Linked DNA regions of Pelodiscus sinensis. The protein of the gene in region 1 interacts with the protein of each later gene in a pairwise test. Links are inferred from orthologs where the notes say so. Each region holds a gene or a part of one and is shown on either strand. Other genes may lie near its edges. The genes, in order: FKBP1B and RYR2.

What was found.
Region 2: the proteins of FKBP1B (region 1) and RYR2 interact in binary tests that used the Homo sapiens proteins (3 or more experiments, as listed by UniProt). The link is inferred for Pelodiscus sinensis from reciprocal best matches to the Homo sapiens genes FKBP1B and RYR2.

The regions. Positions count from the first base shown.
Region 1 is NC_134713.1:14,531,984-14,548,609, forward strand, and holds the start of FKBP1B (peptidyl-prolyl cis-trans isomerase FKBP1B), read right to left. Parts: upstream 8,893-16,626; 5' UTR 8,695-8,892; coding exon 8,658-8,694; intron 396-8,657; coding exon 348-395; intron 1-347. UniProt on the Homo sapiens protein: Has the potential to contribute to the immunosuppressive and toxic effects of FK506 and rapamycin. PPIases accelerate the folding of proteins. It catalyzes the cis-trans isomerization of proline imidic peptide bonds in oligopeptides.
Region 2 is NC_134713.1:127,595,740-127,612,108, reverse strand, and holds the start of RYR2 (ryanodine receptor 2), read right to left. Parts: upstream 9,280-16,369; 5' UTR 9,059-9,279; intron 8,942-9,058; 5' UTR 8,723-8,941; coding exon 8,675-8,722; intron 1-8,674. UniProt on the Homo sapiens protein: Cytosolic calcium-activated calcium channel that mediates the release of Ca(2+) from the sarcoplasmic reticulum into the cytosol and thereby plays a key role in triggering cardiac muscle contraction. Aberrant channel activation can lead to cardiac arrhythmia.

The DNA.
Region 1 (16,626 bases):
ATTAACGACCTCAGGGTTCGAGATGATGGACTAGAGGCCCTGATCCTCCATTGTGTAATATGTGTTTTCCACTTGCCTTCAATGGCTAGTGTAAGGGAGCGGAGAATCAGGTCCATTGTGTCCTTTGTTAACCATATGCTATTAAACATTAAACATTAGCAAACACATAGGTACGGTAGTTGGAGCTGCCCGGTCAAGCGTCATGCCTTCAGGAGACTGATCAGAAAAATTTTAAAAGGTGAAGAAGGGACAGAGGAACAGGAACAAATATGATCATGAATTCTGAAATGACAAATGGTTCTGGAAGTGCAAAGCTGTCCAGACAGAACATTCAGAACATGCCTCACCTGTATAGTGCACCACACACGTCTGACCCTTCTTTGGAAATGTTCGTCCTGTTAAAAATAAAAAAGTCTTAGATTAACCATCCTATGTGGGAAACTTTAGCTTTTAGTAGAGGTGGGCTCAGGAAGCTAGACTGGGGTTCATAGAGTTTGGGCATCATTAGGCCCCAATATACAGGGTGGGGTGAAATGGTTTAGGATAAAAGGTCCCCTATTTAGATTGGGAAGACATTTTCTTATATTAATGTGATTTTTCTCCTTTCTGTCAAATCTAATATATTTTCTTAGTAGTTTTAACAACTGATTTGTCGTCCTCTGACAGCAAATTACATCCTATAATTGCAGGGGGGTGGCCTCTGGAACGACATAAAGAATTATCATTAAAGCTGTGATTCTTTCACAGAAATTACAGATTCCGTCACTTCCTCAGCATCTGCTGTGACGGATTTCAGGGCCACCCAAGCAGCTGGCCCCAGGGTCAATTGCTTCCGTGACCACAGCCACCTGCACCAGCCAATGCTAGAGCTACCCCAGGCCAGCTGCTCTGGAACCCCACAGCCGCTCACCTCAGCTGCCACTGAGCAACCTGGAGCCAGTTGTTCCAGTGGTCCCCAAAGCAGCCAGTGTTCAGGAGGCAGCTGGCTCTGGGAACCATGTGAGCAGCAGCCCATGCAGCTGGACTGGGCACTGCCCAATGAGCAGTCACGGGGGCGGCACCAGGGAGCACCTGCGCAGTGGTCCCAGTGGCCACCCTGGGGCCAGCCACACCAGGCTGCTGTTTGGGTGGCCCCAGGAAGCTGGCTGTGGGGACTACCAGAACAATGGCTGGTGTAGTTGACTCAGGGGCACGTCCATGCAGCAGTCCTGGGGTATCCTAAGGACTGCCTGAGCAGCAGCAGTTCCGGGACAGCTGGAGCAGTGACCTCAGGGGTGCCCCACAGCTATCTGGAAAGCAGTCTCCAGAAGAGCAGCCAGGGGACAGTCATCCCACAGCACTGGAGCAGGGATCCACCCAGCAGGGACCCTCTCGAGAAGTGGGGCTCCCGAAGTAGAGATTGAATCAGGAGTATTTTGGGGTAAAAATCTGGAACTGGTCATGGCCTGGGAATTTGTATTTATTGCCCATGGCCTGTCCGTGGCTTTTACCAAAAATAGCTGTGACTAATCTTAGCCTTAATTATAATCAGCTTTAACTTCGCTGAACCTTCTCCTCTGTCCCAGAGGGGTAGTCATGTTAGTCTGTAATTTTAAGAACAACTTTTAAAAAACAACGGGTAGTCCTGTGGCCCCTAAGGGTACATCTACACAGCAGGACTAAAGTCAAATTAAGCTATGCAACTTCAGCTATGTCAATTGCACAGTATAAGTCCAAATAACTTATTTTGGCTTTTGGCGCTGTCTAAACCGCAGGAAGTCCTAGGAAGAGCCTCTTCCTCCAACTTCCCTTACTCCTCATAAAATGAGGGTTACAGGAGTAGGAGTAAGAAGTCCTCCAGCTCAACATTATTTTGAAATAATGGCTTGCTGTGTAGATGCACACTTTGTTATTTCGGAATAACGTCAAGTTATTGTGAAATAAAGCTGCTGTATAGACGTCCCCTCCGAGACTAACAAAATATATAGTATCATGAGTTTTCATGGGCAAAACCCACTTCTTCAGATGAGATGATCTTGAGACTCAAGATAGCACTCCTGTCCTGAAGACCAGGGCTGTGTCTACACTGGCATCCCTTCCGGAAAAGGGATGCTAATGTAGCATATCGGAATAGTAAAATCCGTGGGGGATTTAAATATCCCCCGCGGCATTTGCATTAACATGGCTGCCGCTTTTTTCCGGCTTGAGGATAAGCCGGAGAAAAGCGCCAGTCTAGACGGGATTCTCCGGAAAATAAGCCCTTTTCCGGAGGATCTCCTATTCCTTCCTTGAAAGTAGGAATAAGAGATCCTCCAGAAAAGGGCTTATTTTCCGGAGAATCCCGTCTAGACTGGCGCTTTTCTCCGGCTTATCCCCAAGCCGGAAAAAAGCGGCAGCCATGGTAATGCAAATGCCGCGGGGGATATTTAAATCCCCTGCGGATTTGCCTATTCCAAAGTGTCTAATCTGCATCCCTTTTCCGGAAAAGGGGTGCAGTGTAGACACAGCCCAGCAGTCAGTAGCTATGAGAAAGCAGACTCCAGGCAGACCCTAATGAAGCATCCTGATGATCCCCACAAATTCTGCCCCAATCCCAGGTGCTGACAGCTGCAAACTTTCCCCATAGCAGACACTCCAGATAAGCAGTTATATTTTCAAGAATTATGTATTTTCCAGGGTCACCTCGGTAGCTGGCCAGCCACTCCACTCAGAGATGTGCTGTTGAGTCACCAAAGTTTGCATACTTCAGTGGTATACATGCTCCAGACAGAATTGCAGCATAGGAGCAAACACTTGCAGGAACAGGAACATCAGCTGAAGAAGGATGACAGAGCACAGCAGAAAAACCTGTTTGAGTGGCTGCTTTCACCAACAGCCACAAGATTGCAGGCGCCTATACCAAGGCCTGAGTCCAGTCCACAGTACCATGAACTGCATACGAGTGCTTGGACAATTCCATGATTGTGCAGCCCACGCACCTGGGACTTAACAGCAGCTAGACAGTGCAAATCTATAACCCTAAAATGAAACCCTTCCCCTTGCAGTCTGCCATACCTTGCAGGCCTCCACAGCCATGCACCGGTGAAAAGTGCAAGCTAAATGCACAAGAAAGGGAAAGAACATGCCAGTTAACTCGCAAAATTAGGGAATTTTTTGAGGGTCCTGTTTGCACTGTTCAGTGTTTGATGGATGCACTTGTTTTATTACTTGGTTGTGGTGTTGGTTTATTACTGTTGTTTTGGTATACAGGCCTGCCTGGCAATGCTCTAATATTGCTATTTGTATCTTACAAATAAGGGCTTGTATTTTATTAGGAAAGTTTATAGCGCTTATCCATCACATCTTCTAATGTGTATTTTGAATAATAAAGATAAACACAGGGTAGGGCAAAAGTTGTAGCCAAACATAGTTTCTCCATATCGTTATGTACAGCAATGAATAGTAAATGCACGGTCTCTCACCACACATTACATTAACAGTCACATCATCCAAGATAAATGTTCATGATCATCAATACTACTCCTGTTTACTGTGTACAGTTACAGTGCACCCCCATTTCTTTTCCCTGATGTGACAGTACCTCATTTACTGTAAACATTGCTGTACAAAAACAATCATAAATGTCCTGTTCTCCCTCTTCCATTGGTCCAGCCAAGTCTTTATGCGGGAGCACAGACCATCTATGGATTTCAGTGACCTTGTTCCAGGTGTGAGATCAGGCACTTTCTGGTGATGTGTACCAGTTCAGCAGTACATTCCAGTCAGCAGGGGCAAATGGCTCCCCTTTGGCTTCACAAAGACTGTGAAGAGCCTAGCAAGGCACAATGATGAAGACCAGTGCAGCCCATGAGCATATTTTTTTCTACCGGTATGATTAAAGTGACACGCATGTAAAGAAAGGGCATGTGAAGTAAGGTGTGTGTGGATTGCACACAACATTGACTATAAGAGCCGTGTGTTCCCTCTACATCCAATCAAAGCGCTGCTATGATTCAATTGTCACACGCTGCAAAATCTAGGTATGCAAGTGCAGTTAGCAAAACTACCCTATCCCGGAAAACCATCTTGGTTACGACAGCCTTGTGTGGCTGAGATGGAGGGCCACTCATGCAATCCACTCACTAGCCTAGGTTGCCCATTGCTGATGTAGACACTGGAATTTTTAGACAAGGCCAGCAGGATTTCAATTAGCCAAATATACATTCAACCACCATTGTTTGTATATCTGCTGAGAGCGTTATGAAACTTACTTTTGACAGGCCCTCAAGTCAGTATCTGGTTTCACAGATCAGGGTGAAGATGGGGTATGCAGGTTTTCCCCAGAATAGCAACAGTAATTCCATTTATGACAATACCATTTGGTGGGAATTGTGTCACAGCCTGTCCATGAAGGTAGAATACCAACCAGCGGAAAACCCTTTGCATCACATGGGAAGATTGATGCATTAAAGCCAGCATGCTCACTGAAACCTTGTCACCTGCATTGAAGGAATGATCCTTATACACCAGTTCTGCTGGGCTGGACATTGTATGTGCATGCCACATTCTCGCCTCCCAAAACAAGCCCTCTACTCTCACCTGATGTATAGTCAGAAATCCTGCATTGGTCAGAGGCAATCCTACAAAGACATACTAAATGCATATTTAAAAAAAAACTGACGCGGATGAAGGAAGGAAGGAAGGAAGGAAGGAAGGAAGGAAGGAAGGAAGGAAGGAAGGAAGGAAGGAAGGAAAATGAAAGAACTTTCTCCCAGCAGGCAACTGACTCACCAGGAAATGGTGCGGAATTCCACAAGGGTCAGTTTTGGGACCAGTTCAGTTCAATATCTTCATCAACCATTTAGATGATGGCATAGAGAGTACACTTTTAAAGTCTGCAGATAATACCAAGCTGGAAGCAGTTGCAAGTACTTTGGACGATAGGATTATAATTCAAAATGATCTGGACAAATTTGAGAAATGGTCTGAGGTAAATAGGATAAAGTTTAATAAGGACAAATGCAAAGTATTCCACATAGGAAAGAACAATCAGTTTCATATGCACAAAATGGGAAATGATTGTCTAGGAAGAAGTACTGCAGAAAGAGATATGGGGGCATAGTGAGACTCAAGCTAAATATGAATCAACAGCGTGTCAACTATTGCAAAAAAGCAAACATCATTCTGGGATGCATTAACAGAAGTGTTGCGAGCAAGACAAGTCATTCTTCCCCTCTGCTCTGTGGGCATGTCTACACAGCACGCATAAAGCCGAAATAAGATTCGTCAACTGTGTAGCTTAAGTCGAAATAGCTAATTTTAGTTTTTGGCACTGTCTACACAGCAGGAAGTCCAGGAAAGAGTACTCTTCCTCTGCCTTCCCTTATTCCTCGTAAAATTAGGGTTACAGGAGTCGGAGTAAGAAGTCCTCCAGCTCGACATTATGTCTAAATAATCGCTTGCTGTGTGGATGCGGACTATGATGTTATTCCAAAATAACACTGCTGTGTAGACTCAGCCTGTGCTGATTAGGCCTTAACTGGAGTATTGTGTCCAGTTTTGGGTACCACATTTCTGGAAAGATGTGGAGAAACTGGAGAGGGTCCAGAGAAGTGCAACAAAAATTATTAAAGGTCTAGAAAACATGATGTATAATGGAAGACTGAAATAAATGGGTTTCTTCAGTCTGGAAAAGAGAAGACTGAGAGGAAACATGATAGCAGCTTTCAAGAATCTACAAGGATGTTGTAAGGAGGAGGGAGAAAAATTATTCTCCTGAATCACTGATCATAGGACATGAAGCAATGGGCTTAAATTGCAGCAAGTGAGGTTTAGGTTGAACATTAGGAAAAGCTTCCTAACTGTCAGGGTGGTTAAACACTGGAATAAGCTGCTTAAGGAGGTAGTGGAATCTCCATCTCTGGAGATATTTAAGAGCACGTTAGATAAACATCTATCAAGGATGGTCTCTAATCTAGACAGTGCTTGGTCCTGCCATGAGGACAAGGGACTGGATTCGAGGACTTCGCAAGGTCCCTTCTAGTTCTATGATTCAAAGTTGCATGACAATGTGATCCTATCAGTCTGTGCTTGTGGTCCTGCTCCAGAATTACTGGTCTATGCAGAGGGCACGAGCAGAAATACTAAAAGTCATGAGGTGCATCAGCTAGTTTGAGTTTTCCATGTCTATATCATCCTCCTCTTCCATCATTAGCTCTGTCAGGTGACTTCAGTGGATCAGAAAATGCCACCAAAATGTCCCCCAGCATCTCATGAAAGCTCTCCCCAGTTCCTGAAACAGGAGCAAAAGCAAGCAAGAGAAGTTCTTCCAATGATGACTCCATGTTCCTGGTTCCGATTGTTGGGAGCATGTAGACCAAACAGATGGATCAGCAGAATGCGTTGGTGGGCTGCAACAACTTCCTGTGATAAGTCGGATGGACAGTCAAGTTTTCCCATGATGTGCCACAGACAGCCAGAGAGTGGACACATTTGAGGAGTGTGCTAGGTAGCCTGGGATATGATTGGTTCCACTTGGAGGTTTAGGTTGTCTTGGTGGTACTGGAGCCCTGGTGTGGGGCCCAGGGTCAAAAATTTTTAAGTTAAAAGTCACGGATGAGTGTGGATGCTCAAACCCTGAGCTTTCAAAGCCAGGGTCTGTGAATTCAAATCCAACTACTCCTGGGCTTATGCTGACGCTGCAGTGTAAAAATACTCTGTGTGTCTGTAGAAAGCCTAGCACTGTGGGGCCCTGAGCTCAGTAAGCACTACTTTCACATCCCTACCGCCAAATATGATGCAAATACAATCCATATCATTCAATGTGGAAAGAGATAAAAAAGAGTATGATACAAGTCATCAGTGGCTCATATTCCACCCTGGCATAAATTGGTGTAATACCACCAAATCCATGGAGACACATTATCTTATACCAAGGCTGAATTAGGCCCAATGATGTTAAGACCTTCAACTAGTCACTATAACAAATCAACTTCTGAGTGGATTTGATGGCAATAGAACTTACTGGTTTTGGTTTTAATTACACTATTTAAATCTATTGGATTGGATTAAGCTTTGCAACCAGGCCAAATCACATTTATAACTTTATTTTAAAGAGCATCTTTCTTATGCACCATATCCCAATACATTCTAGAGATAATTAAGAAAATGAGAAGGCTAAATTCTGCCCTCACTAACACTTACGATAGAATAACAGTGGAGTTACTCTGAATTTACAGCACTACAAGTGAGAGCAGAATCTGACCCACACAGCTAAACAACAGTAGAGGGAGAAGACAGTTAAGAGACATAGGCAAGGGGTGGGAAATGATGTTGGTCCAACAGAGTTAAGCCAAGGATGAATTTGGGCCATAACATAGATACGTATGGCTCTATATTAGTAATGATCAAAGATCCCAGAAATCTGTTTGCCACAGAACAATGTGAGAAAATGCAACATTTGTGTTTCTACAGAGAATCTATAGTTTTTACATTTTGTGGAAAAAAAATAAAAACATGTCTAGTGGAACCCCAGGGGAAACTCAAGCTCAGCATTTTATTTTAATCACAGAGAAAAAAAAATCACAAGGATTGTAATGGGTTTTTTTTTAAATCAGGAACTTCTGGGAGTTTTATCACAAAAACTATGATCCCTGGTAATGACATCTGTCTTCAAGAGTTAGGGGAAGATGCTCTAACACCAAAGCAGAGTAGCTATTATTTTGATTTGAAAAAACCAAGCCCATAAAAATCAAAGATTAATACACTCACTAATCTGGAGCCATTACAAGTGTTACAGGTGCAATAACAACATTTAAAATGGGGGAGAAAATAGCTGATCCGGTCAAAATGCTGCTTCCGTGTGAAATGATTCTTGACATAAATGGCCTACTGTTCATGAAACGATTTGGCAATACATCTGTGAAACTTTGTTACCGTGCGTGTTAAATGCCAGCTTTTGCCACAGCCACACACGCTAATCAGCAATCATTTATTATGTTGATTTCCACCCTCTCTCTACAGAAATTAACTGTCTTGCTGCTACTGCTCCAATAATGTCTGGTCCAGAATGCGCTTCGGAAGTGAACTTGCTTTAGCTGCTGAGTGCTAAGGCTCACATTTTAAGGGGGTGTGCTCTGGACTATCATTTGCTCTCATTACCAAATTACTTCCCTGCACTTGGATTTATGCAGCTGTCAGCAAATGCCATTTAAATGTCCCAAACCATTCGCTACCTCTGCTGCTGCCACCAAAGGAGCAGCAGACACCGCAGCCTATGAATCCCAGAGAACCTGGTCCCCTTTCCTCGTGTGCTTCTGATCCAGGAGACTTTCCCCACCAGACCCTCAGGCTTCCCGCCCCCCATCCTAGGAATGTCACCCCCACACACACCCTTCTTTCCCTGCAGTCTTTGATTTCTTCTTCAGCTGCTGGACCCTAGGTTCCCCTTCATCTGGTCTCTGATTATCTTTGGAGTCCAGAGCCCCTGGGGCTGCAGGACCCCAGACTCCTTCCTCTTCTGGTGCCCAGAAAAACCGGACTCCCTCCTCTCACATTTCTCTCAGGCGGCGGCACCCGCGCTCCCCTTGACTCCCCTCCCCGCCCCCCGACGCCCTGGGTCTGCATTGTCTCCGGCTCGCGCCGCGTGCCGCGGCGAGCACCCCGGTCAGCACCCCTCACGAGAGCGAGCAGGTCCCTACCGTCTCCAGGGGAGATGGTCTCAATTTCCACTCCCATTATTGCACGGCTGGTCTGCGGCAGAGACCGAGCAATTCTCGCGGCTGCTTGGGCCACCCTCTGTGCTCAGCTGGGCACTACCCCACGCCACGGACCCTCTGCTGCATGCATTCCCCTGCCGAGCTGACTGACAAGGAGCACCGCAGCTGCCCGTCACACGCTGCCAGCCAATGCAAAAGCTGGGACGGGGGGGGAGCTCCCTACGCTGTCACCCAATCCCCCTTCTCTGCTGCACAGGAAAGGCCGGTCCCTCCCAGGGCTGGGAGTTGGGGGAGGAGGGGCAGGCCTCTCAGGCTGTAGTTCGCTGGGATTTGCTGCTGCTGGAAACATTTAAGGATTTGGCACTTCAGTGCTATTCCCTCCCAGCAAGGGCTTGCTGCTTCCTCACACCGCATATGCTCCTTCAATAGCTTTGCAGAAATTGCATCCCTATGTGCTGGGGAGTAAGCTATGCGGGCTGTCCAGAAGGATGCATTGCTTCCTTCAAGGCAGCTGATACCAGCTCAGTAGTCCCCAGTCCAGTGGTACCAGACCCAGTTTTGGTGTGTGGTACAACAAGCGCCAGCTCTCTTCCTGCTAATGAGCGTCTGTGTCACCATTGTGTCCCCACTGCCCACTGCTTCTAATTCACTTCTGTGTCCTCTCACGGGCGGTGGAGTTTGAGCTGCTCCCAACTCCATCAGTTATGCTTGTGAGATGTGCCACATGTGCCCAGGGGCTTCTGGAGACAGGGGGAGCGACAGGGAGAGCAAGGCCTGGAATCCTTACAGCACAAAGGCTAGATTGGAATGATGCTTCCCACATCTCTAGGCTGCATGCCGTAGAAGTGTTTATACTTCCTTGTTGGGGGGGGGGGGGGGGGCGAAATATGCACTACAATATCTATTAATTAATTAATTAAAGAAAAGCTGCTTTTAATGGTTAATTGTTCCCATCATGTTGGATTAAAAGTTGTAATACAGTGTAAGACACACATATTTCAGATATTTGTGTCTCAAACGTCTTTCCTCCTACGAGAATCTGTATGAATCTATTTCCATCAACTCTTAGGCTATGTCTACACTGCGAGGTTTTTGTGCAAAAATGGCTGATTTTGCACAAAAACCTGCGGAGCGTCCACACCTCAAATGCATTTTTGCTCAAGTAAATCAGCAGTAAAATGGCAGAACAGAGGACTTTTGCCGGTGTAGGTAAACCTCCTTCTATGAGGCATAACTCCCTTTTGTGCTATGGCTATTGCGCAAAATAACTGGCGCCAGAAACCCCTATGGGAAAAAGCACAGGTGCTCTGATGGCCATTCTCTGAGTGGCCATCAGAGCTTTCTTGCACAAGAGTGTCCATGGAGCATCCATCACTTTTGTGATGAGCTTTGAGGTGTGGACGTGCTCTTGCGCAAGAAGTCTGCTGTGCAGACGTAGCCTTAGGGAATAATTTTGCTGACAATTCTCTTTGGTTGTGGGAAATGGTCTGATCTTTTTTGTTTTTTAATAGGAGGAAGTGTGTCCCTCTGCGTCCAGTCTGTACAGGTCTGACATTTGACATCTGTCTTTGTAGTTTATCTTAATCGGTATATATCTGTCAAAACAGTCCCCAAGGGTCAATAATATTTCCATAGGGGTTCTGATGTTGCCTATAGGTATTACAAGGAGCCCTCGCTATTTGAGGATTCAGTATTCATGGTTTCTGTAGCCCGGTGGGGTACGCCCCAGATAATGAGGGGTGTCCCCCTCAGGGTCAGTGGGTGGCTACTCCAACCCACTACCCACAGTTCCAGTCTGAGCCCCAGTTCTAAGCGGAGCTACTGCTCTTGCAGTTTATGGGCCCACCCAAGGGCAGGGCAAGGCAGGGCTGCAGCAATCTAGTAGTCTGTAGCCCGGTCCTGGTCCAGGGCGACACTGCTATAGCCAAGCAGTCTCTGGCCCTAGTGCAGGGCGGGTCTACAGTCATTAACCAGTTAGGAAGCCAGCCCAAACACAGGGGAGGCTAGCACAGTTAAACAGGCAACAATTAAATGGCTAGAGGCCCAGCCCTTGGGCAGGGCAAGGGCTTCACACAAAGCAATCCCACCGGTTCACAACCAGTAGGTGCTGGTAAGTAGTCTGCCTCCTTGTTCAGGAGGGGTTCAGGCACCTTGCCTAGGGCTGCCAACCGCAGGAGGGGAGACTGCCACCCAATCAAGCAGTGGTAAGGGGGACGCGGGCTCTCCCTGCACCAGTGCGTCCCAGCCCAGAGCCCTAACAGCAGTCAAGCAGTCAGCTGCTGGGTCAGCAGGGATCCCGGCCCAAAACACACTGACCTGTTATGTCAGGGTCAGCGGGGGTCCACGCCGCAGCCTGCTGACCTTCAGCCAGACCACGGTTGGCTATCCCTGGGCCGGCTCTGTTTGTCCCCTCCCCCATATGGTACCTTTAGTTGGGGCAGGTCTTCAGGACAGCACGGGTTGGAGTCCTCCAGCCAGATACGCAGGCCCTCCAGGTAATCCTCCAGGAGGGCGCCCGGTGGCCCTGGCCAGCCATATGCTTTCCCCAGGTCCGGTTCCTTGCTGGGTTGGGTTGAGCTAAGCAGGCTTCTGGCTCCCCAGCTGTCTGGGACGAGCAGGCCTCTGGCTCCCTTGCTGGCTGGAGAGAGAAGGCTTCTGACTCCCTCGCTGGCAGGTCCCCAACTGGCCTTGCGGGAAGGCCTTTTATATCCCTGGCCCCAACCTCGGCTTCCTCCAAGGTGAGTCATCCAAGTGAGCCCACCATGGCTCAGGGAGGGGCGTTTTCTCCCTTCGGATCAGTGGGTGGCCACTCCAACCCACGACAGTTTCGCATATCCATTGTGCACTGCGCCGCACCAGCCCAAGTACATGATGCAGTGTGATGATGCTTTTTCAGTGTGCTCTACTAAAAAAAATTATGTGCACTAACTTACAGCAGTATTTCAGTATTAATAGTATGATCCCTCTGTGGAACGGAGCCTGAAAGTTAAAAGGGAAAATGAATGATATCCACATTTCCCAAAGTCACAGTCCTATGCAGCAAAATATAGTCAGAATGTATCTATACTGAGATTTATCTGAAAAATCTCTTACTATTGCTGTATCAGTGGGATGATGGCTCTATCAATGGCTCTATCGATGACAGCAGAAGTATGAGAATAGATTGGCCATTTTTAATATCATTTGCCATGCATGGAGCAAGTCTAAATGGAATAATGGCAAAAATACAGGCATCCAGGCTACATGATTACTCCCACTATTGCTAACACCAGAGAGAAAATACCCATACAGTGGTGGAAGATTTCCCTAAAACTGTACACAGAATCTCAGGTTTGGTCATCACTTGCTACAGAAACCAAAGCATATTTTAAACACCCTTCTCTTCTATTCACTACACTGGGAAAATGACTGGTTGAAAATGGATCCTGGATTCCTCAGACAGTTCTCAGCCAGTATTGAATATGGTTTAACTGCTAGAACAGACAGAGACAAAACATCTTCTTCATTCCTGATGGAACTTGCCATCTTCCTCAATTTCTATAATGGGTTTTGTCCTATCTGCACTATCAGCCAAACTGTTTTCAACACCTACTTGGTCATGTCCCAGTGTCTGACACGCCTTGCCAACAATTAGGTGTGCAGAAGGGGGACAAGCAGGAGTGTGGATCCTCTAATAATCAGTGGGAGCACAGAACTTTTCTGGCCCCAGGGCCATGGTGGGGAGAGCAAGATCATATGGCCCCATAGCCAAAGTGGGACCTGATAGCTCCTCCAGCCCTGGGATTGCCAAGGGGCCACAAAATGTGCCCTCCAAAAGCAGTAAAATTTAAATTTGTGCATGCACCCTGCTAACAGTAAATAATTTTCCAAATGTAAATGGTTACAGTGAAGACAAGGTTGTCTAAGTGATGTTTAGAAAGTTCAGTAACTGTTTGTCATCAAAACGGTATAATTATTCTGCTAGAAATGTCATTAACCTCTTCTCTCTTTTACAAGTCACAATGGATTTTCAAATGAGAGTGATCTAACTGAGCGTGAAAACTGTAACAAAGAACATTTAGCAATGCAAAATGCCTCTAATTATTTGATAATGTGGTGTGTTCAATGACTTCACAGTAAGTAAATTTCCATTCTTACTCAAAGCCAACAAAAAGTTAGAATTTTTTTTTATTAATAACAACCTAAGTGAGAGTCAATCACTAAAATCAGGAATAATTTGGCCAATGAATGATGAGTCAGAGAAGGAGAAGATCCATTAGATCATTCAAACCTCTTTCTTTGCCAAAACAGGATTCTTCCCAAAATATGTTTCCTAGTAGGCCTCTGCCCAGTCCAATTTTAACTGTTCCAAGCAGTAGAATCCCACCATATGCCTTAAGAGACTATTCCACGTCTGAATACAGATCACCCTCAGCAAATGTTCCTTCCTGTGATGGGTGGAGAAGTTTTATTGTCAAAGGAAAGTATGGAGTACTCATTGGACAATTTGCTTGGTGTTTCCAAGAGGGAGGGCTGGGGAATGATATATGGTGAGGGAGGAAATGAATGGGGGTCTGTTAGGCTATGTCTAGACTACAATGATCTATCAGAAAAAGGTACACACAGTTTTTCAGAAGAGGCTTTTTCGAAATATGACCCATCTACACTCCTCTTTTGGAAAAGCTCTTCTTCCTCGTGGAAGGAGGAAGACAGGGCCTCCAAAAAAGCACATCTGCTCTTCCAAAAAAAAAAAAAAAAAAAAAAGAGCAGATGCGTTCCCTGTATGCAGCAGAGTAGTCTAGACATAGCTTTAGTTGGGAGAGTGATTGGATAGGGCAATCCCTGGTTGGGAAGAAGTTAGTAAAGGGGGAACCATGCTTTGTAGACATAGCCAGAGAGTCTGAGCCCAGGTTCACTGCTGGGTGTGGGAAAAGAAGTACCTTCTCTATGGCTTAGTCCTCTTCTCCCCAGTCCTGTGGAGATCCCTTCAGGTACTCCATGATGTTCTGCCTCTACAGGTTGGCTATGGAGAGTGTAGGTGGACTGGCAGGTTCTTGCACAGTTGTGGAATTGTCCTACTATAACTTGTGCAGAATTTCCCTCCATACACAGAACCGCACACAACAGGAATGGCCCAGGGAGCTGCTGACAGCCTGTTTCCTGCCAGAGCCATACTGTCTTTGTGTAGCAAAGAGCAAGAGGTATGACGGAAAAACCTCTGTGCTGACATTCTTTGTTGCTGGTGGCTTTCCTGAGATTGCAGGGAAGTAAAGGTTGGGAAATGGGTTGAAGCCACCACTCTAAAAAATTTCCAGGAAGAAACATATTGCATCTCCTATCTGAGAGAAAAGCTGGAAGGGAACTGAGTTTTAACTTGGAGTATATGTTCCTTCAGATAGATATAACCTGGATAGGGAAACCCCACAGTTATGTAACATTTGAAAGTAAGAGAAAACAAAAGAAACACTTTCATTTTTTAAAATGGCAATAAGTTTCACTCTAATTTGCTATCCACACACAAAATCTTCCTGTCAGCAAGGTGGGTGAGGTCTAGTCAAGAGAGCAATAATTGCAAAGAGAAATAACCCTTAAAGGGATATGATGTACATATTGTTACCAGTAGATCTGCTCTGACAGGTTACTTATTATGTATCTTTATTAATTGTGCATCACTTTCACACTCTGTTTCAGTGAGATTATGACAGCCAGGCTATTTTTAAAGATAGACACTTTCTGAAAGGCATAGAAATGCAAGCATTAAAGAAAGCTACTCAAGATTCTTAACTTTATTTCAATAAATGACACATCAACTACAATTATTTAAAATGAAGTGGGTTGCTTTCAAAAGTAGTATATTTGGAAATTAAAAATATCACATTGTATTAGCCATTTTATACATTTAGGTTAACATTGGAGAATCTGTTATTGTTAAGCTTATATTCCAGATGGGACTGGTTCCTGCTCCTGTTGAAGTCAATGGGAGATTTATTCTTCATTTAATAAGTTTGGAGCAGGATTTGGCCAACAAAGATTTATTGCTTTATTCTCTGTTTCACCATGAGTAAATAAAGAAATGAAGTCTAATCCTATGCGATACTGTCATTGAATGGGTAAGGTACTCGGTATTTCATAAGGGTGGGTTTACAGTGCACAGCATTGTATGAGATAATAAACCTGCTGAGTTAGTGGAATTCAAAACATGTTCTAAATAAGGGGTTATGTTCTGATCACAGTTACACCAATGTAAATGAGAAGTTACAATGGTATTAATGAGACCAGAATCTGGCTCGATATTCATGCAAGAGCTGGACAGTCGTCTTCACATTTTGTATTACACTAGAGTGGCCTTAACTTAGCAACTGCTTATTAAGGTTGCTGCTGCAAGAATGCAGAATTTAAAGAAAATCTATGGTGCTACCATGACCATTCCAAATTACAAGTCTATGTTGTATGTGTCCTGTAGAGATCAATGCATGCCATATTCACATAAAAAAAATTAAACACTTGTTCTAGTTATAGAAATGTACACAGAATAAATTAGGAGAAATTGTCTCTTTACTTCTGCTTTTTATTTTCCTTGCTGAAAAAGGAAACTAGGATGGGTTGCACTGCACTGTGTCATACTTTCAGTTATACACTGCATGAATATAGAACTTGGCATAAACTAAGAAATGCATTTGCTTTAAACTCTGTTGCCTTTTCAATTATTTGTCCTTTATCATTTTCAATTCTACTGTATGCACACAGCTGTTCAGGCACCTTCTAGAGCAGGGGTGGGCAATAATTTGTGAAGGGGGGGGATGCTTCAAAAATTTTGAAGCAGTTGCAGCTGCCCTGGAATGGGCGGGGCTTTGGGTGCAAGGGGCGGGGCCTTTAAATAGCAGGAGTTGAAAGGGCTTGAACCTCCCCTGCGGCTCCCAGGCATCACTTTAGCGGGGGCAGGAGCTGTGAGCCCTTTTAATTCCTGCTATTTAAAGAGCATGCTGCTCCCAGCCCCTTGCTGCTAGCACGTTGCCTGGTAGCTGCGGACATGAGAGCCATTTCGACTGCTACTATGTAAAGGGCTCACTCCTTCCCTGCGACTGTTGCCTGACAACTGCGGGGAAGGCGTGAGCCCTTTAAATAGATGCAGTTGAAAGAGCTAGCATGACCCGGCTCCCAGGCAACACGCTAGAGGCATGGGAGCTGTGAACCCTTTCAATTGCTTCTATTTCCTGGCAGCCGCGGGGAAGGCAAGAGCCCTTGAAATAGAAGCAGTTGAAAGTGCTGGAGCATCCCGGCTCCCAGGAAGCGTGTTAGGGGCTGGGCCAGGAACTGCTGCACTGGCTGGATGAAAGAGCTACACAGGCCGGATCCGGCCTGCTGACAGGCTTTTGCCTATCCCTGCTCTAGTGTCCAATTTAACCTCTGAAAACTCATGCAAACCTCATGCAGTCAAAGATACTGCACATTAAATGGGTATTACCTTAGGCACAGACACTTTTTTACCCATATTACTCCTTCCCACAGAAACACTTGTGGGAGGGTCACTGCAAAAGGATTTTGTATTAGTTCAGTGTAGAGATGTGACTTTAATAAATTCAACTTGATCTTTCAGAGTAGACAAGGCCCAAATAGACCAGGTGTCCTTGCTTCTAGTTTATGTTGGTTATATTTTGCCTCCCTGTCTTGTACATTACATATAACCATTGAATAGGATTTCTCTCTCCTACTTCCCCTGCTATAGCCCCTTAGGAATCTTTGAAATTGGACTGGAATCTGAGATTGGAATCTGGCCCTTACTCTTTCCTTCAAAGTCTGTAAAGAAATATCAGGCAATTATTTCATACTGTAGCTTACTGCCAAGGCTTAACAGTGTAGAATCTGTTTCCTCCATTCATTGAAGGAGATCTTCGTTCACAGAAGGTCAAGGTATTAGAGTGTTATTTTTAAATATACACCCAGCATCTAAGAGTTAAAAATAGGCTCCTGA
Region 2 (16,369 bases), about 110 Mb from region 1:
AGTGAACATCGTGCAGCACCTTCTGGAGGCCACTTATGTTGATGCAAGCAACACAGTGTCTACAATAACACTATGTGGCTCTAACCAGATCATTCCATGCACTATGCCTCTTGTCCAGGTGGTTTTATTAGGTTTGTGTAGCAGGCAAGTTACAACAACAGCAGGAGCATTGTAGCATGTATGCCTCTGTAGTTAGGTCAACGGAACGGGCCTCACATCAACAACGTTGTAGTGTAGAAAAGCCCTTGCTCTGATGAGTACTGTTAAAAGATCAGCTATGAACTAATTTCCTTGTACAGCTACTCCTACCCCCAACCCTACTCCCCCCAAAATTAAGAAAATTAGTAGCATCAATGCACCTTTTCTTTCTACCCTAGTTGGTTCCTCAAAAGGTAAACACAGAGGTTTCATCCATGCTACTACTTACATTGGAAAAACTTGTGTTGCTCAGGGTATGAAAAAATACACCGAGAGTCATAAGTTGTGTCAGCAAAAGTGAAAGTGTGCACCACACTATGCAGGCAGGAGACCTTCTCCTGTCAATGTAGCTACAGCTGCTCATTGGGGGTGGTTTGATTACACTGCCAGGGGAGCTCTCTCACATTGGCAGACAGCAGCTATACAAAAGATCTTACAGTGGTACAACTGCATTGGTACAAGGAGAGGACTCTAGTGTAGGCACAGCCTAAATGGATTAATCTTTACTTTGTTTGGAAGCATAAGGAAACCAATTCATGACTGAACCTCTAACATTTGTGATACTTTCCATTCTGCTCATTCTGAAAAGTAGCACCAAACCCTTTTCCCCATACTTAAAACCATTTCCTCTACCCAGAAACCAAATGTGGAAAAGTTTCACCCCAAAATGTTGTTTTGAATAAGATTTAAGGGTCTAATCCTGCTTTCATTGAAGTCAAAAGCAAAATTCCCATTGACATGGATAGTACAGGAACAACTCTAACTTGTTCAAAAAACAAATAAAATGGCACCAACTTCACTTCCTCTTTACTAACAAAAGGGAAATCTCTCTCAGCAAACATACACTACTTAATTTTCCCAGAACTTCTACACTAAGGGATTCATCAGATATGCCAGAAACAAAATCTCAATACAAATTAGCAGATTTGGAGTCTTTCCTTAATACTTTTATTTTATTTGCCAGAACTGAGATTATATTTACAGAATGGTAAGTACTGTGATTTCATTTCTAAGCATTCTGCATGCAAACAAGAGTTTTAGACTTCAGCAGAGACAGCATTTCAACCTGACAATTTTGCCAGGATTTTACCCTTGATACATATAATAGAACGTCTAAACCTTGCTGACTATGAGGCCCTTTGCAAATTAATGTAGTCTACAAATTTGTAAGCAAAACAAACATGATATCACATGTATTTTGTTCATTTGACAAGTGTAGGTTAGTGTTAACGATTTATGTCAAAACCTCATAATAGATTAATAAATATACTGTGGTGTATTTTTGTGAAAGTGAATGGATCTTCACAATGAGACCTCCTTACAGCATCTGTTATTAAATATTTGCTGAGTGAAGTGGAGAGACATCTGGATGTATATGCAAATATGGAATCTAAAATGTAGACTTGTACAACTGCACATAGGGCAGGAAGAGCACTACAGACCTTTTCATCTCCAGACAGCCAAACTGAGACTAAGTCACATCAAGGCAAATCTGAAATCTTCCCATACATTTCATTAGAAATTTCATTAGTAAAGCTTAGTAAAAACTGTTCAACCATTAACACAAATGACCAAAAAAAATCCAATTTCAGCCACTCAATTTTTATTAGAAACTAGAAGATTTACCCAGCATTGCTCAGATCTTTAACTGAAATAATTTTTGTTTTTCTTCATTTAAATCGTCACTCTGGGGTGGAGCTGGAAACAAGCAGTTCAATATGCAGACTGTCCCTAGAGCTGAGGACAACCCCGGTCATCTGTCATCGCAGCAACTTGGGCCCAGGTGAGAAGCGCCTGTCCATGGCTGCAGCAGCAGGCATAGCTGGGGGAAGGGTGCAAGACTCTGTCTGGGGGACAGACAGACAAGTGCTCTCAAATATATAGCGAACAGCTGTTCCTTTCTCCACCCCTGTTCCCTGCTGCCCCCTTGTTCCTCCCCATGGTCATTACATAGAATAACTATTTCTGCTAGTAACCCCTCTCTTCCCATTTCATGAGAAATAATCTCATCTAGCCACATCCCATTATCCTGGAACAACCAAATCCTTAACTTGCTCTAAGTTATAAGAGAAAGCTGCATACTAAATTTGGTGGTCTTGGTTCTTACCATTTAGGACAGTGGTATGCAACTTCCTAGGGGGTCGCGGCACTTGGATCCGGCCAGCCAGGGGCTGGGCCTGGTCCTTGGTGGCCATGCAGCGCTTAGATCTGGCCAGCCGGGGCCTGGGCCCGGCAGTTGGTGGCCACGCAACACAGGGGTCATGGTTCAAACAAAGGTTGTGTACCACTGATTTAGGAGGAGTTCTTGAACAGACTCACAGACCAAGACAGACTGTCTCAAAGATACAGTAGATTATAACAAGGTTCAGTTTTAAGTGACTGCAAAGATGCTACCCCCTAAAACTCTTATTCATCCCTCACAAAACCAAATCCAAGTGACATAATTAATTCACGAAAGTCAAGCTGTATTTTAGATGCAGTTAAAAAAGGACACCACAAACTTACTTTTCTTGCCTGAGAGTTTAACCTGCTATTGTAACAAGTAACACCTAAAAACTGAAAAATTATAGAAAAAAAATCTGTACTTTATTTAACTGGTATGTTTAACATGACTGTGTCTTTAAGGTGCTGCTAGACTATTCGCTGTTTTTTAAGTTTTTCCAGTTACAGACTAACTCAGCTACCGCTCTGAAGTTTGTGACTGTGTACAGTCATTTTCAATGTTTCCCCACATTGTCAGTTTCTCCTTTTTGGCCCTGATTCAGAAAAGCACTTAAGCTAACACTTATGTCTATCCTTATGCAAAAAAAGCACCTAAAGCAGTCTTCTGTATCAGGACCTTGGTGTTTACCTTTCTTACAGTGACAGAGGGTGAGAAAACCAACTTTTTAAAAAGTGATATGACTGTGTAAAATCACGCAGTTTGGTAGGGAAACTCAGAACCTGATGTAGCACTGAAACTGCATTAATCTGAATTTACAAATTAGAGTTCTTTTAAATCCTGCAGCTTTAACTCCTATGAGCATCCTCACCTTCATCTAACAATTAACTCCATACATGGCCAATCTTAAAATGTATTTAGATATTAAAAGGAATAGAAATCCTCCTGCCTCAGGACATTAGTTAACCGACTGATGAAGGATGGAAAGCAACTTTCTTGAACCGCTTTTTGAAGCAGCCGATAAAGGCAACTCTGACAAATAGGGCAGTGGACTAGATGGATCCAGTAAGAAAATTCTAATGTTCATATCAAGTATTCAAATACTTGAACCAGTTTATTAAAAAAATTAAAGTATTTGTGCATATAGTTCACAAAAAAAGAGGGATAAATTTGTTGCGTAAGTGGTACACTACATATACAGTAGTCTATTCAAAATCAGAATTTGAGCCCATATTCAGTGTTAACCCTATAGTGCAGTATTGGAAGGAGGAAGATGGATACATTGCAATGCTAACCATGCCGTCCCTTTCATGAGATGTTGACCTGTGGTCCTTTGCATCAGTCTCAAGTGAATATCCAGAAATAACATGCTGAGAGCCATAAATGGTACTTTTAAAAATTGACAAGAGTGTTCTGGTCAATGTACTCTCAGTAAAACTACCTCAAACACACAAGGCTGGTTTTTAAAGATTTGCTGAGGGTATCTTCATGGGTGTGATTTTATACATAGTCACTGCAACTGCCAAAATCTAATTCATTATCATAAGCCACTTGAAGTTACCTGATCTATAAAAAGCACGATAGAAAAATAATTCAGTACGATTGCTTTCCACACTAGGTAGAAGTTCAACATACGTTTATTTTTCTTTTTATTATCTGGAATAATTTAGATGAAGATCTCACCTGTTCATTTTGTTTATTTTCCATGCATTTCCACTGTGATTACGGTGGAGTACCTCAGCTCAGGACAGCATTTCAGCACATAACTTAAATGAGATTTAAAGTGAAGCACATGTTTAAGTGCTGTCCTGGAAAAGAATGCTTTCCTGAATAGAGGCCAATGTGATTTTGAAATACAGAGTGTTATCTCCCTCAAATGTCATTAGGCATGTCACTCTTTTAGACTCAAACTTGAATCCTTTCCACAGTGGTCTCTCACTGTCACTATGTCAACAAGTTATTACATTTTGACCAGAGAGGTAATAAACTTCATTCATGCTTAAAAAGTTCACATAAGTCCTGCATAAGTTCACGCTTCCTGCTGAAGTACTTTTTAATCAGTCTCCCATATTTTGAAGACCTTTGTTACACTCTGACACTGGCAGATTGAGAGCTAATCTGAAGAACTATAAATTCAGGTGGGAAATGAGTAGGAACAGATTTTTTTAAAGCAACAAACTGCTAATTACCCTTGCAATAAAACAAAGAAAGGCTAAGTAAAGAGTGGAATACCAAGTGGAAAGCACAGATTCCATTCTCCAGAGAGATGACTCCATTAGATCTGGAGACAGGAGAGTTACTTAGGTTGTTACCTTTTTCTTTTAGGTATCATACTCATTACAAGCATCTTGACTTTAGCTGCCTTGCAGCCCGTTGTGAGGGATTACAGTACTGTTGGTTTAATTTCCATATGTTATAACTATGTCCCATGTACGAATTTCTGAAAGAACCACCGAGCTCAAACTTAAGAAAAAGCTACAGAAATTGACAACCCACCCAAGTCATCCCTACCACTTTTGCGAAGGGTCCTTGGAAACATTTATAACACAACACAATTACCACATACTTTAGACATATGATTGCCCCTCAACTCAGTTTACATCACAGGTTAAATCCAATTCAGGAGGTGATGGTGCTGGAAAGCCCAAAAGCATTTTTATCCCATACAAAGGATATTGTTACCTACCACCTTCTTGAAAGATTAAGACTAGATTAGTTCCATAGATAGGGAAGACCCATGGAACAGAGTTATACCTATGACAGTTTTAAAAGAATCCAGGCTAAATTTGTCAACCCTCCAGGATTGTTCTGAAGTCTCCAGGAATTAAAGATTAATCTTTTAATAAAGTTTATATCATATGATAAAGCCTCCAGAAAGTAAGTCCAACCAAAACTGACAACTCTAGTTCAGGTTTCTAACAACAGGATCGGCTTTTTCATGTCTGTATTATGGAAGGAGTCAGATTGATTGATGAAAAGATTTCCTGTTCTTCTTCCCTTGAAGTCTAAACTGAGTTAATTTCAGGTAAATTAAACATGAAATTCTTTACCAGAATTTAATCTAAATGTTATCAGCTATAGAATAGACAATTCTTTGAATATGAAGACTGACATGTGAATATTTATTTTGTACTATGCATGCTCCTTTGTTTCTTAAAAAGAAAAAGAATTAATAGAGGTGGGGCTTTCCCCCTATTAAATTCATGAAGGAAACATGCCCCCTCCCCCAAGTCTCTCACCCACGTGCATGCAATTTTAATGAAGGCAGCCAGAAAAAGAGACCTTGGGTCTGGCAGAAAATTATTTATAAAATATAAGATTACCACCAAATTGAATGTTAAACAAAATCATGAGTCTGAACACTGTCCATTCCAAGGGGTGAAATTCTTAGGGCTAAACATTTCCCTGAGGACTAACCTAATGATAAAAAAAGCAGTATTCCAGTCCAAATCTCAAGGATTCCTAAAGTAATGTTAGCATTGTTCTTCCAGCATCATAAGGAAATAAAATGTTACACCCTTCTCTTTAAAGGGGATGTATCAGATTTGTTTCAAAAGGAATCAAGAATCCACAACAGCAGCAATTTTGCAGGGAGCCATGCATGCAGCCATCTTGTCCGAAAAGGTAGCAAACAAACAAGGAAAAACAGGGAAATTACACTAAGTAGAAGAGACTGGAAAGGAAAAACAAAAATAAAGATCAATATAGGGGACAAACAAATTTTAATGGAAAAAATATACTTAGTTTTCTCTCCAAGAATTTACCTGAACATAGGAAGTATCTTACTCATCATCACATATTAGGTCCTTCATGATACATTTTATCTACCAAACCACCAATGCACACTTCTACCACCAATAACTAATTGATTAAAAATAAAGATACAGAAATTGCATTCATCATCAGTTTACAAACTAAATATTTTATCAATGCCATGCAGAAAGTATTACATATGACATATTGAGCTTGGGGAGATGAGTCCTGAATTTCAAACAATTAACTAAGACAACATTTGTGTGAAAGTTGTTTAATGTTTGGAAAACAAATTTTCCATCTCTTCTCAGAGTAATGTTCCCAGCACAGGTGTATAGGGGAGAGGAAGGGTAGATGGAGGCTTAAGACAAGTCACCATATAGAAACAATTTAAGACTGGAAATTCAAAATTTCAGAAAGAAATAAAGTGTCTACAGCCCTTTTTTTCCTATATGTCTAAATCCCTTCAACAAAAACTTTCCACTACTCCAATTTGCCACCTTCTTCAAGGTCATTTTATTACAGACCAACATTCTAAGGATTTTTAAAGGATAATCCCAGGCTGGCATTGCGAGATCTTGATTACCAGCAGGACACACCTTATCAGAAGTGGTCTTTTACATAATGAGCTGCTGCTGTTAGAGTCTGTAGTTTTTAACATTACCCTATATGTACATGGAATGACATTACATGCACATTGCTTCAGTTTCCCCTTTAAGCATTTCAGATAACACCATCTCCATGAGCTAAACTTAACATTTAAATCTTCAGTAAACCTGTAAGTGCACAACTCAACCAAAATATTTGCACTAATTTTAGCACTAGGAAACAACAGACAAATTGTGAAGCCATATCTTCTTTCTGAGACTGCAGAAATGCACAATAAAAATCTATTTGCCAGGACCGCAGTACATGTGCCATAATACTAACAAGAAAAAAATTGACAGTTTATATTCCCTTTTTTAACATTGCTTAACAATTATACTCTCGGCAGGACTGGATCTTTTGATGGATTCAAAAATATTGAAAGTAGATTATTTGTTTCAGCAATCCAGTTTAAAGCGAACAATGCAATAAAAGAAATCTCTAAACCGTCTTACACAATGCTGCAAAACAGTACAAATGTGCTCTGCCTTATACCAGCTAGATGACGCTTTTCTCCTTTTTACGCACCTTTTTCTCATTACTTGTCACAAATAAAAATGTTTTCAAAATATGGTTGTTCTAAATAAAATGAAGAATGAAGTTAAAGCTACACCATACAGTTTCAATGTCTACACATCTCCAAAGTCTACATTGCTCTCAAAACTACCTAGTTGTGTATATAGCAATATTCAAAAATACCTTTTTGCAAAACTTGCTAGAACCGTGTGTAAAAACAACACTTGCGTCAAGCAAATAAAGGCAGTAACTGACTAGAAATAGTTCAAAATGAGCATAATTGGCACTCTTAATACAGAGCCAAACTGAGAGGAGAAAAGCTTTGGCACTTCAAAATGTTCTGCATTGAAAAAGCAGAGGAAATAAAAAAAGATGTTTGTAAAAGGATGTAAGTACTAATTCATTTTCAGCCATAATGCCTACAGTTGTGAGGTTCTGGGGGTGGGGGAGAGAGAACAGGAGATATTCTTGTTTTATTAGGTTTTCATGTTGTTTTTGCAATAGGCACTTCAATTGCAGCTTTGAGGCTAAGCATTGCTGCTGGGTTAGTAGCTGCAGTGTACAGCCCAAATCAGAGGGTGGAAGGGGATCTCCGAAAGACCCGTTTTTTTCCTTGTGTGACTGTCGAGCATGTGATGCTGCCTTGCCTGGTACCGCTCGTTCTCCGACTGTCCGCCTCGCAATAGATTGCCCTGCCCCCGGGTCAATGGTGGAGTAACCCCAGCCGACCCAAAGCCGCCGCACACATTACTTTTAATTGTCACTGCATTGCTAACGCACAACCGAGAGCCATTGCTGCTCCTTGGCTTTGCACTCCCACGCAGGCACCGTGCCAGGAGCAGCCAGCCACCCAGCCCGACCCCAACGCTTCTCTCCTTCCCAGCCCCATGGACCCCGCGCAGCGGCTGCCCGGCGCTAGCCCTCAGCGCCCCCCCCCCCCCCCACACACACACCTGGATGCGCGGGGAGGGGGCGTTATGATTTTGTGCCGCGGCGCGTGTGCGCGCCTGGGAGAGCTGGCGAGCGGCTAAAGGGGGAATTCCTGGCAAGGCTCTCCCAGCCCCCTCCCTCAACTCCCGCCGGGGACAGGGGGCTTCCCCATCACCACGGCCACACGCTCCCGTCGGCGGGTTGCCCACCCCGCGCTTCAGACGCCTACAGGGCACAAGCTCCCCCCGGCGTTCCCCGCCCCCGGGCACACCAGAGACTCCCCCGCCCTTCCCACGCGCGCCAGGCACCCCCCCCCCCCCCTCCCACACACAGACACCATGTCTCGGCACGGCTCAGGGGTCCCCTGGAGCTAGTGCAAGGCGCACGCTCCCCCCGCCCCACACAGCTCTGCTCCTGCCCCCAAGCAGCCCCGGCCCCGCGGGAGGAGGGAGAGGAGCGCGCGGTGCTTACAGTCCGCAGGAACTGTATCTCGTCCTCGCCCTCGCCCCCTTCGGCCATGGCTCCCCCTCTGGCCCCGCAGCGGTGCCCGGGGCGGTGGCAGGCGCCCCCCGTGGGGCTGCAAGCTCAGGGAGAGGCTCGCGCGCGGCCCCGCGCCGGGCTGGGGGAAATGGGAGCGCCCCGTGGCTCGCAGCCTCAGCCCCGCTGTGCCGGTCTCTGTCGCTCGCTCGCTCGCTGCAGCAGCTTGACGGCGCTGCCCAATCTCCTCCGTGCCAGTGCCTGGAAGAGGAGCGATGTGATTCACTGGGCTGGGGGGTAGGAGGGGGGCGGGGCGGAGCTGCTCGGCTCCCCCGCTGCTGCAGGTGATCTGCAGCCGGCTCCCTCTGCAAAGCAAACCTGCGGCCCAGCGCCCCTTACTGGCTACTCGACAGACAGACTGTGGCTGCGCTCCCAGCCTCCCTCCGCTGCGACCGTGGCACAGTGCTCGTGTTACACACCGGGCATTGAGGGGGATGCTACAATCAGGAAGAGATGGTGGGTAAAATATTCAAATGGCCACCAGCTGCAGGTGTCCAACTTGAGACCTCCCTCCCGAGGGACCGGATTTGCAAAGGTGCTGAGGAGCTGTGAATGATCAACCCCTCTAAAAAATTAGCCCCCACCTGTCTCACCTTGCACACTCAAATCTGAAGCACCCAGAAAGAATGGCGAGTTAAGCCATAGGCACCTGTGGGTGCTTATTTACACTAGTATCAGAGGGGTAGCCGTGTTAGTCTGAATCCGCAAAAGCGAGGAGGAGTCCTGTGGCACCTTATAGACTAACTGAAGTGTAGGAGCATGCATCTGACGAAGTGGGTCTTTGCCCACGAAAGCTTATGCTCCTACACTTCAGTTAGTCTATAAGGTGCCACAGGACTCCTCGTCGCTATTTACACTAGATTTACATATTTACTTCTGAACACACAGCATATGCACAACAAGGGAGAATGCTTTGTGTGTGTACATTAGGTGTTGTAGGATTAGTGACCACCATAGTGGAGAGTTTCCATTCTAACCTGTTTTCAGCGGTTACATAACTTTTAGAAACTTTCACCTTCCAGGATGCTGTTTTAGTCTTCATCTACAATAGACACTGATTTTTATAATTACAATTAAAAATTCCTTAGCTGTTAAAATGGGAAAATAGCAAAAGAAATATTTCCCTATGATTGAAAACGTTTAAAATAATCTATCAAAATATTATAAACAGCGCTACCTACAAAATAACTGGAAAGTTTAAAAGCTTCAGAGGGGTAGCTGAGTTAGGCTGTAAAAAGAAAAATTTAGAAAACAACGAATAGTCTAGTAGCATCTTAAAGACTAACAAAATACTTAGCTGTATCATGAGCTTTCATGGGAGCAACCCACATCTTGTGCCTATGAAAGCTCATGATACCGTCTTCATGTTTTATTAGTCTTTAAGGTGCTACTAGACTATTTGTTGTTTTGGAAAGTTTAAGATGGTCTAAAATACACCTTATTTAACAAAGGTGCATTGTGATTCCAATGAGTTTTTCCAAATCACACTTACTGCATGTGCATTGAATTTAAATGATATTTAAACACACTTTAGACCAATGATAAGAATATGATTAGATTTCTTTACTACAAATCTTTAACCATGCTGTAACTAGGTCTTCTGTTTTATCTATATTGTAATTTGAGCCCTTGTCTAGCACCCCAATTCTCCAACTATATATATAAACAGCCATATTGAACTCGGGGACTACTCATATTTGTAAAGTTCCCTTCATGCGTAAATAGTTCCATGATTGGGGGCCATATACAGCCGCTCTCCGAGTTACGAACGAGTTACGGACCAAGACTTGGTCCGTAACTCGAACTGTTTGTAACTCAGCCCCCATAGAAGTTACATGGCAACTGCACTGTTTGTAAGCGCGGATCGCCATTCGTAACTCGGATCCGCATTTACGACCACTTTGGTCGTAAATGCGGATGGTTGTAAGTGGAGGTGGCCGTAAGTCGGGGAGCGGCTGTAGTACATTGTAATATATATATAATATACCTTCCTTTGCATCGTTTATGGTGAGCCTTTGAGGCAAGTGCTGCACTACTGTACATGTAATAAGAGCATTAAAAGAAAACATGGAAATTATATAAACAGTTCGCAAAATCATCAAAAGGCTGATAAGTTTTGTATAATTTCCAGCAAAACATCATTAGGAAATGTACAAAGTAGCTAACAAAAAGATTTTTCTGAATAGCTCATGAACTGTGGGAGAGATTAACTATAATTGAAAATACATCATTTTGACATTCATCAAGCAGCAATGTGCACATACACTCACAAATATGAGGGAGAGCACATTGCTCCATATGTATAACAAATGCAGTCAACACAAAAATGTATTAAGCTTGCTTAAGTGCATAAAGCATACCAACACCACAAACATATAAAAGCCAGAAATCACTAACATTCTCCACCATCATTGTTTTGTCTTCTCCATATTACCTGCCATCTCTCGCACATACAGCCCTTCTCTCATTACCAATGCACAAAATTTGCAACCTTTGACTCCAAATGAGTATTATGTTTAGAAATGTGTGGTTTCAAGTTGTTCAGAATGTTGCACTGGTGTTGTGTTGAAGATTAATGTGTAAGGTTTCAGTTAATTGTTGATGAGTTGGCTGATTAAAAGAGGGAATTATTTGCTAAGTGGAAATAACTTGTCATACTGTTAAGAAGTTAAGGGTTACAGGATTTTTCAAAATGGGGCAGTTCTGTCAAACGATTCCCGTCTTGACCTCGGGGTTTTTTCAAAAAGTGGCTTTTCGAAAAAAAAGCCGCAGCCGCCATTATGTAAATGAAGCATGGGAAATTCAAATCCCGGCTTCATTTACAATTTCGATACATCTAACTTACATCCTTTTATCAAAAAAGGGATGTAGTTTAGATGTACCCTTACTGTCATGTCTGCAGTCTATGTTGTTTTGGTGAGATAATAGAAAAGAACACACACAATATCAAACTTTGTCAGTAAATTACATTTGTGGGTGGTGTCATGGCTACCTTTTATAGAGAGAGCTAGAACACACCCACACATCTGTGTTTCTCCTACTGCTGTTAAGGGTCTTCATTCTGGGGTTTGTGAGGAGCAGCTCCAGAGGCTCTTCACAAATTGCCATCCCCATCACAGACCTGGCAGTGGGGTAGCGGCTGGAGGGGAAGCAGTTCCAGCTGTTCTTTGTCCCCCTCTTCCAGGCATGAAGGGAATTAGCTTCACTTCTGTCCTGTAAGTACAATGTTAGCTGCTCCCTCTACCCTAAAACTTCTGTTGGCTGCTATGGGGAAGAGAGCTCTATGTGTCTCCTGAAGTAGCCCTCAGACTCATAGGCTTTCAGGCCAGAAAAGATCAGCAGCAGCATCTGGTCTGCCTTCCCCCAGATTACAGGCCACACAACCTCTGCTACCCATTCGTATAATAGGCCCATAACTTCTAGCTGAGTTACTGAGGTCCTCAAATCTTGATTTAAAGACTTCAAGTTACAGATAATCCAGCATTCTAATTGGGTGCTCGGCCCTAGGTGGCAGAGAAGAGGGAAAAGCAGCCAGAAGAAAAGTGTGGAAGAGCCAGAAAAGTGTCTGGCAAGAGCTAAAAGATCTGTGAAGGCTGGAATTACTCTTGTCATCCCCAGACTGGCTCCAGCAGAAGCCCAAAAAGCCCATTAGTGGTGATAAAATCAAAAGAATGGCAATGCTATTTATAGATGGCGGCTGAAGATGAGGTGATGTAGCAAAAGCAAACTCCTGGCTGTCAGTTGGAGTGAGGAGTTAAGTAGTGAGGTTTCTGACTTTTAATGCTTATGGGGATGGCTTTTTAAAAAGTTTGTTTGTTTGATTATATTTCTCCACTGTCGCTACAGCTGTCAAGTTTTCAACAAAACATTATTTTGTGGAAAACATTCTGCTAACAAAAGATATAAATTTTACTTGAAAATACAGTTGTTAAAAAATGGAATTTAAACTGAAAAACTAAAAACCAGAATAACATTTTTTTTCTTTTTAGCACCTCCAAGCAGTTTTTGTTTCTTAAAGAAAAAAAAACAGAAAAAAATATCAGTTTTGGATTTTGGAGTTGCTGGGAGTTTGGGGGGGCGGGAGATTTGTTTGGGTTTTTTAACAAAAATCCGAAAGATTAAACAAAATTCAACAAATGTGGGGAAGAAATAAATTCCTTTTAGTAAACATGTTTCTTAGAAAAAGTAATTTCCTGACCAGCTCTAGTCTACGTCAATGCTGACAGCTACCAACACGGATAGCTATCAGAGTGGAGGATTTGAAATCTGCTATATACAGCTCTATTCCTCATACTAGACCATCTCCACAACAGCACTTTCCCCATGTCCTGCCTCAAAACTGATTTTGCCACCTCATACATGACCCATGGCCCTCAACTGGCCCTTTATAGCCCTGTTGTTGGTGTTTTCTATTATCACCCTTTCTACAACATTTTCTCTCTCTTTCTCCCAACGTTCCCAGTCAATACCGTGCCATCCTATTCTCCTCTTACATTCAGACATTAACATGCATCACCAACATTAATACACGTCAGGGGGGTAACTGTGTTAGTTGGTAACTTAAAAAATAACAAGTAGTCCTGTAGCACCTTAAAATCCGACAATGTGTATCATTATTGAAAAGCTGAAAATGTGGTAGGGAGTCAGATCTCTCCAACTGAAATTCTCCTTTTCCAAATCACAGCAAGTTTCCTGAAGGGAGAAAGTGGCTCTGGAACAGAGCTGCTGCCTTTACTCCTGAAGCAATTCAGCTGCAAGACTTCTACTGTTCTGCCCCCCTCTTCTACAACTTGAGCAAGAAAAGGAGCAACAGTGTATGAAATACTTCCTGATGCTGGTACCTTGATACACTGGGGGTGTGTCTACACTGTACCCTTAGCTCAAAATAAGCTACACAATTTAAGCTACACAAATTGTGTACTTTATTTTGAGTTAATTTTGGAATAGTGCCAAATTACGAAATAAACTGCTATTCTGAAACATCCCTTAATCCTCGTGGAATGAGATTTACAGGGTCGTCAGAATAACGAGCCTGTTCTATTTCGAAATAATGGGCTTGTTCCAAAGACGAGGAATATTTCCACAGTGTAGATATATCCTGAGGCAGCAGAACTATAGATAGCCCTCAGTATGCCAACACTTGAAAAACAGGCCCGTGCTCCAAACAGCAGCTGTTTTGTGTGCTAAACAGCCAAGACCACAGCACCCAGGTAGTGGTGTCTGTTGAGATGCATCAGTGTGGATGGAAGCCCAACATACCATTTGTATATGTTGTTAAATGTGCAATGTGGCCAAGTTAACTTTACTATCAGAACCATAACACTTTCATTTATAGGATTTTGAACATATGATTTTATAACCTTAATGTTGTATTAACATAAGTCTTTTGAATGCGTGTATAGCGATGTAGATCTCTCTAAAACAAATGTCCCAGTGCAGAGGAGCCACCAAAGTTTCTACCTACACTATTGGCCATAGGCATTGTGCCGACCCTGTTGACAGTACATCCGAAAATATGTTCTCAAGTTTTTTCTTCTTTATTCCTGTCTCTACTGGAATAATCTACTATATTCACCCAATAAAATATAAATATTTTCATTTTCTCCCCCCAAAATGGTAAAATAACTCTAGGGTGGGGTTATAAGATTATCTATAAATAATCCTGATGCAGCCAAACACACACACATAGGCTACGTCTACACTGGCCACAATTTCCGGAAAAGCCATGCAAATCAGGTAAGTCAGGATAGGGAAATCCGCGGGGGATTTAAATATCCCCCGCGGATTTAAATAAACATGTCTCCAGTGATGGAGATTCCACAACCTCCCTAGGCAATTTATTCCAGTGTTTAACCACCCTGACAGTTAGGAAGTTTTTCCTAATGCCCAACCTAAACCTCCCTTGCTATAAGTTAAGCCCATTGCTTCTTGTCCTATCATCCTTACTACTGAAACTAATACAAGCCTGAAAAATGCTTATGTTACAATGGGTACCTGATTTGTTCTTTTTAGTTATATGTGTGTTTACACCTGTATTAATTTTTCATAGTCTTAGAAGGAAGGAATCAATCACCATGGGACCATACAAATAGACACAGTCCAAACCTTCTCACACTGTGTTGTCAACATATCTCACAGCTGACTGACTGACAACAGTTCTGATAAATCCTGAGCAGAGAACCAGTTAAGTTGAATTGTGTAAGACAGTGAGGGGTTGTTTCTCTGCTCACTTAAATCATTACAAATAAGAAGTATCTCCTCTGAAGTCAATGGAGTGTAAAATCTGTGCCACTAAGATCACAATCAGACCCTGGCTGTTTTGTACCTATGGAAAATTGGTGACTAGGGAATGAGGGGAAAAAATTCATTTCCAAACATTTAAAATAGGATTTCATTTTGGATTAGACTAGGGATGATTAGATACCCAGAGCCAAAAGCCAAAACTCTGACCTGTTTACCCAGTCAGAGTTAATAATGTATTGCATTTTGTTTAGTTAGTGAAGCATTGTATTTGTTTAGTTATAAAGCATTTGTTTAGTTATAAAGCATTGTATAATAATATTATACCACTGTTTAAATGTTATGTGTACAGGTGCAAGGCTCCAGGTGTACAATACATACACACAAGTATATGTATTTTACTATGTTATCTTTACAATAAAATGTAGAGTGAGGTTCTTTTCTTTTTATATGGGGACTCAGAGGTTAACTCACCCAAAAGCAAAGTAGTATGGAATTAAGATAGAAAATACACTCATAGCTCACTGCTCTACATCTAATAACAGGAAACAACATCAAGTATTGTGTGTTGTACTATGTGTGGCAGTGGGATAGAGGGATCCTTGCCTTGCGAGCTACAATGTTGATTGTACCTGGGGCAGGGTGTGAAACTCTGCAATTGATGTGGACAGACTGGTGAAATGAAGATGGACACATGGGCTGTGTCTACACTGGCATGAAATTCCGGAACTGCTTAAAACGTTTTCAGTTTTTCCGGAAAAGGAGTGTCTACATTGGCAGGCTGCTTTTCCGGAAAAGCCCTTTTTCCAGAAAAGCGTCTGTGGCCAATGTAGACGCGCTTTTCTGGAAAAGACTACTGGGCTGTCTACACTGGCCCTTTTCCGGAACAGTGTTCCGGAATAAGGACTTATACCCGAGCGGGAGCAGAATAGTTTTTCCGGAATAGCAGCTGATTTTGTACAGTAGAGCATCGTTGCTTTTCCGGAAATTCAAGGGCCAGTGTAGACAGCTCGCAGCTTATTCCAGAAAAGCGGCTGATTTTCCGGAATAAGTGGCCCAGTGTAGACACAGGCTGTGTCTACACTGCATCCCTTTTCCGGAAAAGGGATGCAGATTAGACAAGTCGGAATTGCAAATGCAGCGAGGGATTTAAATATCCCCCGCTGCATTTGCATGAAGATGGCTGCCGCTTTTTTCCGGCTCAGGGCTTTGCCGGAGAAAAGCGCCAGTCTAGACGGGATCTTTCGGAAAATAAAGCCTTTTCTGAAAGGTCCCTTATTCCTGATTTTAAGAGGAATATTTAAGAGGAATAAGGGGATATTTAAATCCCCCGCTGCATTTGCAATTCCGACTTGTCTAATCTGCATCCCTTTTCCGGAAGAGGGGTGC